2 linked regions of the Arabidopsis thaliana genome follow. The protein of the gene in region 2 interacts with the protein of the main gene of each other region in a pairwise test. Each region holds a gene or a part of one and is shown on either strand. Other genes may lie near its edges.

Region 1 (5,534 bases), on a different chromosome or scaffold from region 2:
AGCTCAAGAGACCCATTGTTACAGAGAACCAAAAGTTTCAACCTTTCAAAAAATGATAGAACTGAAGGAATGTTTCCTTCAATTACAGTGAAAAATCAGTGAACATTTTTACAAATACAAATCCCATTAAGTATTTGAGTCCAAAGTGTCATCATGAAATAAATTAGTCCCATCACACACAAATGACAAACAGTACAAGATGTTGAAAAAGAACAAAGGACCATTCTCATCCAGAAGAAACAATGTTGAAAATGTTAAGCATAAATAATCAAGATTAAGACAGAGAACTAAAAGAAACTGCAAAACCTTGTTCTTGAGACCAAACAAAATGAAAGATACATGTATAAAGCTCGTTCAAGAGATAAAAAAAGAAACGCATAGGTAAGAGAACAAAATGACATGCCCTTTGCTTTCACCTGACTCCAATGATCGTCTCTATCCTTCTTCTCTCCTTGTCCCTTCTCAGTCTGATTCTGAATCTGAATCTGATTGATGATATTCTGGCTCCACCAATGGAGGATGGACTGACTTGAGCTGTTCTAAATCGTTAACATTATGATTCTCCCCGTGGTTTACAAAGGTGCAAACGCTACAAGGTTTCGTAACTGCTTCACCAAAACCTTGTATTTCAACACGTTAGAGAGTGTTCCTTCCGAAGTTGAAGCAATACAATTTACACGCAGAATATCATCAATCAGATTCAGATTCAGAATCAGACTGAGAATAAGAGGCGCGGATTAGCCGTGGACCTGGTCCGGCACAACTCCTTGAAATATGGAGTACCAAACATTGATGCCCATCGCTTTGACACGCAACAAAACCTCACGACCGACTCTGCTGGCAATCTCGACAATATCTCCATGATGAGATCATTCGTTAAGGAATATGAATTCATGATTTCAGATCGAACGAAGAAGGAGATTTGTTAAAATTTACATATTAATGTAAGACCTAGAGAAACCTAGCTTATATACTACTAAAGAGACCTAGCTTTCGTGAATTTATTTATCCGATTTTAGTCGGTTAAGAAACACAAAAATGGGCTGATTTAACGTCTAAGTGGGCCTCCAAGCTTGTCTTCTTCAGGATATTCATACCAAGGAGATAAAAATGGACGTGGTAGACTAATTAAGATGATGTTCAAACAGGTCACGCACATTGCAACAGAACGAACAGAACATCAATTGTTGTTGTTGGCTTATCGGTTTAGGTCATCCTTCTCAGACGTGGATTGTGTCTTCGTTTCTTCAGAATCCATACTTAATTTTAGAGGCCAAGAAATAAAGATTCAAACTGAAGTTTTCCAGATATGCATGACCAGCCAAATTGACAATAAAAGGTTACCATTGAGTTGATAATTTGATTCTAGGGTCATTCAATTCATACATATAACGATTTTGATAAATTGGTCTCAAAATATTAAGCTACAGAGCTACATCCGATAAACAAGAAGCAAAGTTCATATGCAAAAACCAAACTAAAGTCATTACATAAAACTTAAGACAATAAAGTTCTTTTACGTAGTAACTTCTTCTCCAAGACACCCTCACATCCATCCTCATTAGGGTTTGGAGACAACTAGAAGTAGCTCCTTTGGTTTGATGAATGTGAATTTGCAGGTATCACCAACAGCAAGGGGATACTCTTTAACCACACGACGCCATCCACCAGAGAAAGCTCCAAACCTCTCCAGATAAACCACATTCCATGATTTCTTCCCATTTGGGTGATGGATCTTGAATACTGTTTTCTCATCCGGCACTTGATCCTTCGATACAGAATTCGGGATCCTCTAAACACTCAAACAAAAGATTCATTCACATACCAATTTTTAGCTCAATACAGAGATTTTGTTTAGAGTGTCTTGGTTTGTGTTATCTTACCAGGAATACGAGATATCCTTGCTTGAACAAGATGGTGAATGCTGCAGCAGTAGATGAAGAGGCACCAGCGTAATCACTTCGGGCTCTAACCACTTTCTCGGTCCTTTTAGAACTTTGGGATTCCTTAGCTGCCCTCTTCCCAAGGTTGAGCTTTCTTCCTTTAGATTCAGCTGCAGTTGTCTGGCCACGGTTAGAAGATACCACTACCTCTTCCTTAATGTCATTTTCCTCTTGTTCTGTTTTGATACGACCTGTTGCATCAACAAAAACTAAAGACTCAATGACTTTATCCAGTTTCACTGTTTCATAATCAGAAAAACAAATCTTACTTACTTGAAGAAGCAAAGAAGGATCTGGATTGTGGAGGTTGCATCATCTCTTTCCCGTCTAGCTTAAAGATGTTCACGGTAAAGTGCATTTTCCCTTTGTGAGTGAAGGTAAGTAACTCACTGTTTCCCAAAGCATTGTCCCTCACAAACTTCTCCCAGCCAGACTTCTCCATGAAGTAAAATCTAGGGTTTTTAGAGATTCCTACTTCCCAAGAGTTTCCCCATTGCGCTCTTATCTTCATCTTACGTGAGAGCTCTTTGTCGGTGAAGCTTCTCGAAAAGTCATGTGGAAGTGCTCTCTTTCATTATGCAAATAAAATGAAGAGACGATATAAGAAGACTAAAATTTCAATAAAGCAAGAATGGTTGATCTAAAGAACGTTTCTTCAACTACAGGGAATCAACAAGTATTTGGTCCACAGTTTCAAATTAACAGAGGACAAATCTCATTCAGAAGAAACAGAGGTGAAAAATAATTCATGACGACTCCTCACATCTAAACTGAGTAATGAGAGAAGCAGCAAAACAATGTTCTTGATATCAGATAAAGAGAATTGACGAAAAGAGTCAACCTTTAAACAAACAGCTAACAAGATTCAACGTTACAAAGGACCAAAAGTTTCAACATTTCCAAACTAAACTAACGAAGTGAACGTTCTTACACATCCCATCAAGTCTTAAGTACAAAGTTTCAAATCTCACCATGTAACAAATATAGTGTGACAAACACAACAAAATGTTTTGGCATAACATTCTTTTCCATTCTTCCATATGTGAGCCCAAAGTTTAATTAGTCCCATCACACGCAAATGACAAACCAAACAAGACAATGAAAAATAACAGAGGGCAGATCTCATCTAAAGGAAACAAAGATGCAAAATAATGCATGAATGCTCACATTCAGACAGAGAACTAAGTGAAGCAACTAAAACAGGAGAAAGACAATGAAAAATAACAGAGGACAGATCTCATCTAGAAGAAACAAAGATGCAAAATAAAGCATGAATCCTCACATTCAGACAGAAAAATACGAGTGTAGAATGAAGAAAGTTCGTTACATAGAGAAGATCTGTGAGTTTTTTTTCCTGATACCCATAAAGACAATTTACGAAAAGTTTCAACCTTTCCAAACTAAAATAACAAGTGTCAAAGTTTAAGACAAACCCCTGTTACAAAGAACCGAAAGTTTCAATCTTTCCAAACTAAGCCAACAAATTTAACAAGGAGAAGAGTTTAGAAGGTTGTTACCTTGTTTTCTGAAGAAACATTTATACTCTGAACAACCTTGAAGAAGCTTTCATTCTTGCGCTCTTCTTTGCACCGAAGATAACCAGCGTTCGTAGCCATCTCTCTAATTCAAGCTCACCCACAAAGCTTTTGCTCTCGTCTCTCTTTCACACTCTCTTCCTATATCTCTCTCCCTCTCTCTTTTGTAAGGACCAAACCTGTTGAAATCTCTACCAAATTTCAAAGGAAAAGATTCAGTCAAAGTGGTTAAAGTTAGAACTGAGAAATAAGTACAATGTGAGGTCATGTACTTTTTGTCACACATAACTCTTATATGTGTTTCTTTAATGTATAAATACAATGTTGGTATTGTCCAATTAAGACGAGGGAGGAGTTGTTATTAACTTATTATCCAATTAAAAATAAAATGTTCAGAAGATGTATTCTATTTATCTAATATATAATTTTAAAATCTTAAATAGATTATAATACTAGTCAATAATTAGCTCAGAAACAAAATCAGGTGGGACAATATTTGTGGACCAAAGTATAAAATTTGCATGATTCAACTGAGAGATGAGCATTTTTCTAGTCAGAGCAAAACTTTGGTTCTCAGTCTTAGTACTAGTCTCGTTGCATAAGTTGTTGAGAGAGTCCAAAACATTAATTGGCGCAGAAAATCAAAACAACAGAGTACTGAACAACGTCCAAGGAGGATGGAGGATGGACTGGCTTGAGTTGTTTTAAACCGTTAAACATTAAGATCCTCTACAAGGTTTCTTAAACGCTTTACAACCTTTGACGAGAATGTTCCATCTTTCAAAGACAGCTTACAAGACCCATTGTTACAGAGAACCAAAAGTTTCAAACTTTAAAAACAAAGCTAACAAGAAGTTGTATAGTTTAAGAACATGAAGACGACTTAGACTAAATAAAAGAACATTAAGGAACTTTTTCTTCAATTATAGTGAAAAAAACAGTGAATATTGTTACATATCCCATTAAGTATTTGACTCCAAAACGTCATCATGAAATCATTTCCATCACACACAAACGACAAACACTGAAAGATATTGAAAAAGAACAGAGGACAGATCTCATACAGAAGAACAATATTGATAATTTAAGCAAATATACTCAGATTAAGACAGAACTAAGAGAAACTGCAAAACCTTGTTCTTAAGTATAAATTTCGTTAAAGAGAGATAGATAAGGTTGATTTAAAAGTAAAATAAAAAAAGCCTAGTTAAGAGAACAAAATGAAATGCTCATTGCTTTCACCTAAATGATAATCTCTCTATCTTCTTCTGATTCTGAATCTGATTCATCATATTCTGGCTGCACCGATGGAGGATGGACTGACTTGAAATGTTTTAAATTGTAAACATTAAGATCCTCTACGTGATCTACAAAGGTGTAAACTGTACCAAATTTAGTAAACGCTTCAAAACCTTGGATTTCAACACGTCGGAGATTGTTCCTTTCGGGATTGAAGTAGTAAACATAAAACGGTTGTTCAGATGTATACTTGCGCATCGAAAACACTATTTCACCCGAAGCAGTCATTCCAACCACGGAAACCTGAGAACGGTATAATTTATCCTCGGTCCAAGTGTAGGCATATTTCGACCATTCCTTTTTCTCGACATCCTCTAGAACCCACACATGCATCTCATCAATGGCATCATCTTTCACATCATCATCATCCACATCATCCCAAAAAATTACAGCTAATTTGCCCTTATAGTTTATCAATTGACCACATTCTAAGCCAATAAAGGTGAAACTTTCGGATCTTAAATCAAAGCAAACTAACACATTACCAGACGTTACATCATGATCATTATCCCAATCTGACGTGTCACCTAAGTAATACAAAACACCATTGATGCATATCCCTTGACTGTAAATATCATGTAGTACACGATATTTTATCTTTTTCCAATTCATATCCCCATCTCCAAAAGTAAGAATTTTACTGTGACCAGGACCAGATGGATAGATCATGGACAATGCCTTGTACTGCTTGTCAATTGGGTCAAACCCGAAAAAGCTAAACGCCTTTCTATAAGTATAGCACTTAGGTAAGATCGTA
Region 2 (4,928 bases):
TTGCTATAGGTAAGAAGATGATTGACGAAGGGGACTTGAGGAAGTACTTGGAGAAATGGGATAAGACATACTTGCCTACCTACAGGGTACTTGATGTGTTGCAGAAAGTGTTTTACAGATCAAATCCGGCTAGAGAAGCGTTTGTGGAGATGTGTAATGATGAGTATGTTCAGAAGATGACATTCGATAGCTATCTGTACAAGCGGGTTGCGCCGGGTAGTCCTTTGGAGGATATCAAGTTGGCTGTGAACACCATTGGAAGTTTGGTTAGGGCTAATGCTCTAAGGAGAGAGATTGAGAAGCTTAGTGTTTAAGAAACAAATAATGAGGTCTATCTCCTTTCTTCATCTCTATCTCTCTTTTTTTGTCTGTTAGTAATCTATCTACACTAATGTTGTTACTCTTCAATGTATTCAGTATCATATTTATGTTTTCTGTTCATTGAATTAGTCAAAAAGCATTTGGCTTTACAATCCCCAATTTCTCACTAAAAACAGATTTCACAAACCACTAGTAAATTCACTTGAGAAACCACACAAGAGATACTTCATTTCTTCATCACTCTCCATTCCTGCTTCATCAACCGACTCATCACTAGGAACTGATCCGCTGCTTGAACACGAGGGTACTTGAGACTGATCGGACTTGAGACTTCTCTTCTTCTTCCTCTTGTGGTTAGCCTTGAAACAAGCTTGTCTTAGCCTCTTTGTCTTGTCCTTAAACTCCAAATCCGGCAAATCCTCAATTGTCCTCTTCTCCTTCTCAAGCATCTCCAACGCGTCCTGCAGTTTTTCTGCATTCTCTTCGCCTTCCATCTTCTGCAGCTCCTATTCATATGATAAAACATTTGAGTTCAATTATCTGAAAACAATAATATTAAGTGTAGTGCCTTGTTCTACATACCTTGACGTTACTGATCAAAGTGTTTAAGCTCATAAGTTTACGATGAGGCCATCGGCGAATACCCAATTCGCGACATCTCCTTTTTAGTAGAGTTAAACCAACGTTAAGTGCTATTGCAGCCTGAGTTATGGGCATGTAGAAGTAGCGAGAGACAGTTTCCTTTGACAATGTCGTTGGAGCTGAACTAGTTGTGTAGGTAGTAATATCGCTGATGATTCTCACGCTATGTTCTCTGTGTCTCTCATTGATTTTCCTCTTCTTAGTTGTCTCTTTCACTGTTCCATTTTCCCTCTTCTTCTCCGATGAAGCGCCATCTCCTCTGTTTTGCTCTGTTTCGTTCCATGACGCAGAGCTGTATGAATTGAGTACATCTACAGAACAAACAAGACCATGAGACCTCTATGTATATAGCTCTATATGAATATAAAAACTATGTAATAATATGTTATACCTTCAGACAAGGGTTCAAGATCAGGTAAAGGCAGAGAAGTTGTAGTAAAAGGAAATGCTTGAGAGCCAGAGTTTTCTTGGAGAGCAAGAAGATCTTCTTCCCAGTCGAATAAAGGATAACTTAAGGAGCTGCATTGCGTTTGGAAAAATACAGAGAAAATAAATTATAAGAAAACAAAAACTAATAACAAAATGAAACTATACAAAAGCTTCTGAAATTAACCTGTGATCAAAGGATGGAGAATGAGCTAGGAATGAGAATGACTTCTGTTCTTTGGTTGTGTGATCAGCCATTGTAAAGAAAGTGAGAGAGATAGAAGTTGTGTTGTGAAACTCGATGATGCGAGAAAAGATTTATATACTACATTCAGAGAAGAGACTAGTGGTAGTAAGATATGGAGAGAGAATAAAGAATGGAAGTGATGATGAATCTATTAGGAGAAGTGGGGTATTGAGTATTGACGGCTAATTGATTGTCGTGTTAAATTTGGAGTTACGAGAAGATATGATTAATGTTAATTAGTGGGTAATTTATAGGGGCGTTTAGATTTGGATTAGACTCCTCTTTTCGTCTCTCCATGCATATATGACATGCAATCATTTCGAGTAAATAGTGTAGTACTACTCAATGTACATGTTCTTATATATACGCATACATACACATCACAATGATCATGATTATGTATTGTTTAATAACCACTAACTGAATGATTAAGATAACAAAATGAAACGTATGGTTAAAACATTATTGTAGATCATGGCCATATATCTTTAATTTCCATTTCTCATAATTAATCATAAGTTATTAATGAAGTAACAAAAAAGTTTTATATTCCATTTCCACAAAAGAACGATCCAAAAAGCCAAAGATTTTTTTAGTCCTTAGGATGTCTGAGAAACCGTTTTGAAGGCATAGAAGCAGAGTTAGTACAAGCAAAACCTTTGCTTCTACTCTTTCTATGTCTTGGAATTGGAACTTTCTCAAGAAGAGATACGACCTCAAGCATCGATGGTCTAACCTTAACATCTCCGATACATTGTAAAGCCAAGAAAGACATCATAAACGCTGCTTTCTGAGGGTATTGACCCACAAGCTTTGTGTCCATTATCCTAAACACTTTTCGCTTGTCTCGCAAGTAAGGTGTTGCCCAATCCACTAGGTTTTCTTCTTCCCGTGATTTGGATTTGTCTATGACTCGACGCCCAGAGAGAATCTCTAGCAACACTACACCGAAGCTGTAGACATCACATTTCGTTGTTAGATGACCTGACAGAGAACAAAAAAAGGCAATGCTTTTAGAAATTTTCATGTTATGTTCTTTATTGAAATGGAATCAAATGAGCAAATAAATAAATAAAGAGAAACCTGTTGCTAGATACTCTGGAGCTGCGTAACCTTCTGTACCCATGACTTCTGTTGTCACATGTGAACGGTTATCTTTTGGACCTTCTTTGGCCAATCCAAAGTCTGAGAGTTTGGCGTTGAATCCTGAATCGAGAAGGATATTTGCTGCTTTGAAGTCTCTGTAAATGACTTGGTCATTAGCTTCATGCAAAAAACATAGCCCTCGAGCAGCACCAATCGCGACTTTCATACGCAGTGACCAAGAAAGCACACTGGAACTCCCTAGAATAAGCAGAATCCAGATCATTGAAGGAAAAAACTCAAAAAGTTTTAGATTTAAGAAAGAGTTTCTTTACTTACTTTCAAACAAATGATTCTCAAGACTACCATTAGGCAAATGCTCGTAAACCAAAAGGCGGTGTTCGTTTTCCAAGGAGTAACCAATCAGTTTCACTAGATTCGGATGATGCAATCTTCCAAGATAATTCACTTCCCTCTTTGGAGAAAACCATATACAAGTAGTAGAGATTTCAATAGAGTACAGTCTCAAGGTGAAATCATAATAAAATGATTTGAAAAGAAGCTTACCAGCCACTCCTTATGTCCCTGAAGCCCTTCGGTTTTAAGCTTCTTTACAGCAACCGCGAGTTCGATTCCAGGTCCACCATTAATACAGCCTTTGTGAACAAACCCGAACCCTCCTTCTCCAATTAGACTCTCTGGACAGAAGTTTCCTGTAGCATTCTTTAGCTCATCTAAGGTAAAGGACTTCAAATATTGAGAATGCATTATGTCTCCTTCTTTGTGCGGTGGAGGTAGAGCACTGATAGCTTCACATTTTCTTGTAATGAGAGGTTTTAAACTCCATGGATATGACAGATTCGAGCTTCTTCCAGTATCACTATTAGCTCCTGGATAAGAAACAGAGCCACACATTCTTACATCAAAATGAGAATTAAATGGATAAACAGAACTATCAACAACAAAGTCACTAAAGTTAAGAACAGGGCAATCGAATAACCAGACTACATAAAAGATTCATCCATCAATGCATTAACATTCAGAGGGTCCAGGAAAATGTGCAAAAGGACAAGTTATGTTCAACAATTCCAGTAAGAATTTAGTTAGACTCTTCCAGAAACAGAGAGATATGAATATCAAAGAATGAGAAGAGCTTACGTGAAAAGGGTTTCGAGTTCACTGAGGAGTCAAGATTATCGTCCTCATTATCATTTCTCTTCGAACAAGATTCAAAGCAATTCCCCATTTAATCCTATACAAAGATGTAATCATCCAAAAACCAAAACCCTAGATACAATTAATGGAAGAAATAAAACAGAGTATTAAAATGGCTATGGATTGATCTTCCACACCGGCTCTGTCATCGACATTCTTCCTCTGGTGAAAAGGAAGAACGTGGAAACGAGAGTGGTGAAAAGAGTCAAAATGTATTTGGATTTGAAAGCGATGCAGAGGTTTGGAAGAGAGATTAGAGAGAAAGGGGTTGGAATTGTAAAAATTTGGAAAAACTATAATTAGAGAGAACTTGGAGAAAAGAGTTTCCGTGTTGTATTAACTTCCTGTCAGAGAGAGTCACCCTATTAATTACCAATTGACTTATTTACGTCACGTGAAACTCTCGTGTCCCCCACACTCTTCCCATTAATTTTCTTTTTTATTTTTTGGTTATAAATTTACTAGCTGACTTTTTTATAGAATAATTTTTATTACATTTTATTTTGTTATTTCTTATTGATTTCTTAATAATTTTAAATGATCATATTGTTTATGATAAATGAATAAATGATTATAGCTAAGATGAATCTAAATCAATAGAGAACAATCGGTTACCATTTAACATACACGATTATAGTGGACATGATCTTTAATATATGAGAGTTATCTTGGAACTCTGAGAAAATGACTATGAATTTGTAGTGAAAATTAGATTTTTTTATGTTAACGTCAAAGTCCCATATAGATATTATTATCTCATATGTAGTTATTTGTTTCATTTCTTGAATATGACAAGAAATCCATTGTGGATAAAGATATGAAGAGATAGTAGTTTGTCCTAATATCGTTATTGTATTCCTATCCGGATTTAAATCATAATGCGTGTTGTTACAAAAAATATTCATTGAAGATTCACATATAAAAATGTAAGTGTTTAGGCTCGGTGCTCTATTTCAATCATCATTGACGAACCCATTAGTTCTGGTTGGGTTTG

The links. The genes of interacting proteins can lie anywhere in the genome.
Region 1: the proteins of RKD2 (region 2) and AT2G16210 interact in a two-hybrid assay, tested with the Arabidopsis thaliana proteins (one large-scale study listed by BioGRID).

What each region holds. Positions count from the first base shown.
Region 1 is NC_003071.7:7,025,435-7,030,968, forward strand, and holds AT2G16210 (Transcriptional factor B3 family protein), read right to left. Parts: upstream 3,742-5,534; 5' UTR 3,560-3,741; coding exon 3,461-3,559; intron 2,512-3,460; coding exon 2,217-2,511; intron 2,135-2,216; coding exon 1,884-2,134; coding exon of another isoform or gene 1,875-1,883; exon of another isoform or gene 1,793-1,874; coding exon 1,562-1,792; 3' UTR 1,327-1,561; downstream 1-1,326. Other genes in the region: AT2G16220 (F-box and associated interaction domains-containing protein), read right to left, coding at 4,721-5,534.
Region 2 is NC_003070.9:27,992,532-27,997,459, forward strand, and holds RKD2 (RWP-RK domain-containing protein), read right to left. Parts: upstream 1,648-4,928; coding exon 1,577-1,647; intron 1,483-1,576; coding exon 1,355-1,482; intron 1,275-1,354; coding exon 904-1,274; exon of another isoform or gene 828-903; coding exon 501-827; downstream 1-500. Other genes in the region: AT1G74470 (Pyridine nucleotide-disulfide oxidoreductase family protein), read left to right, coding at 10-314; AT1G74490 (Protein kinase superfamily protein), read right to left, coding at 2,229-2,620, 2,720-2,980, 3,059-3,194, 3,287-3,609, 3,878-3,965. UniProt on the Arabidopsis thaliana protein: Putative transcription factor.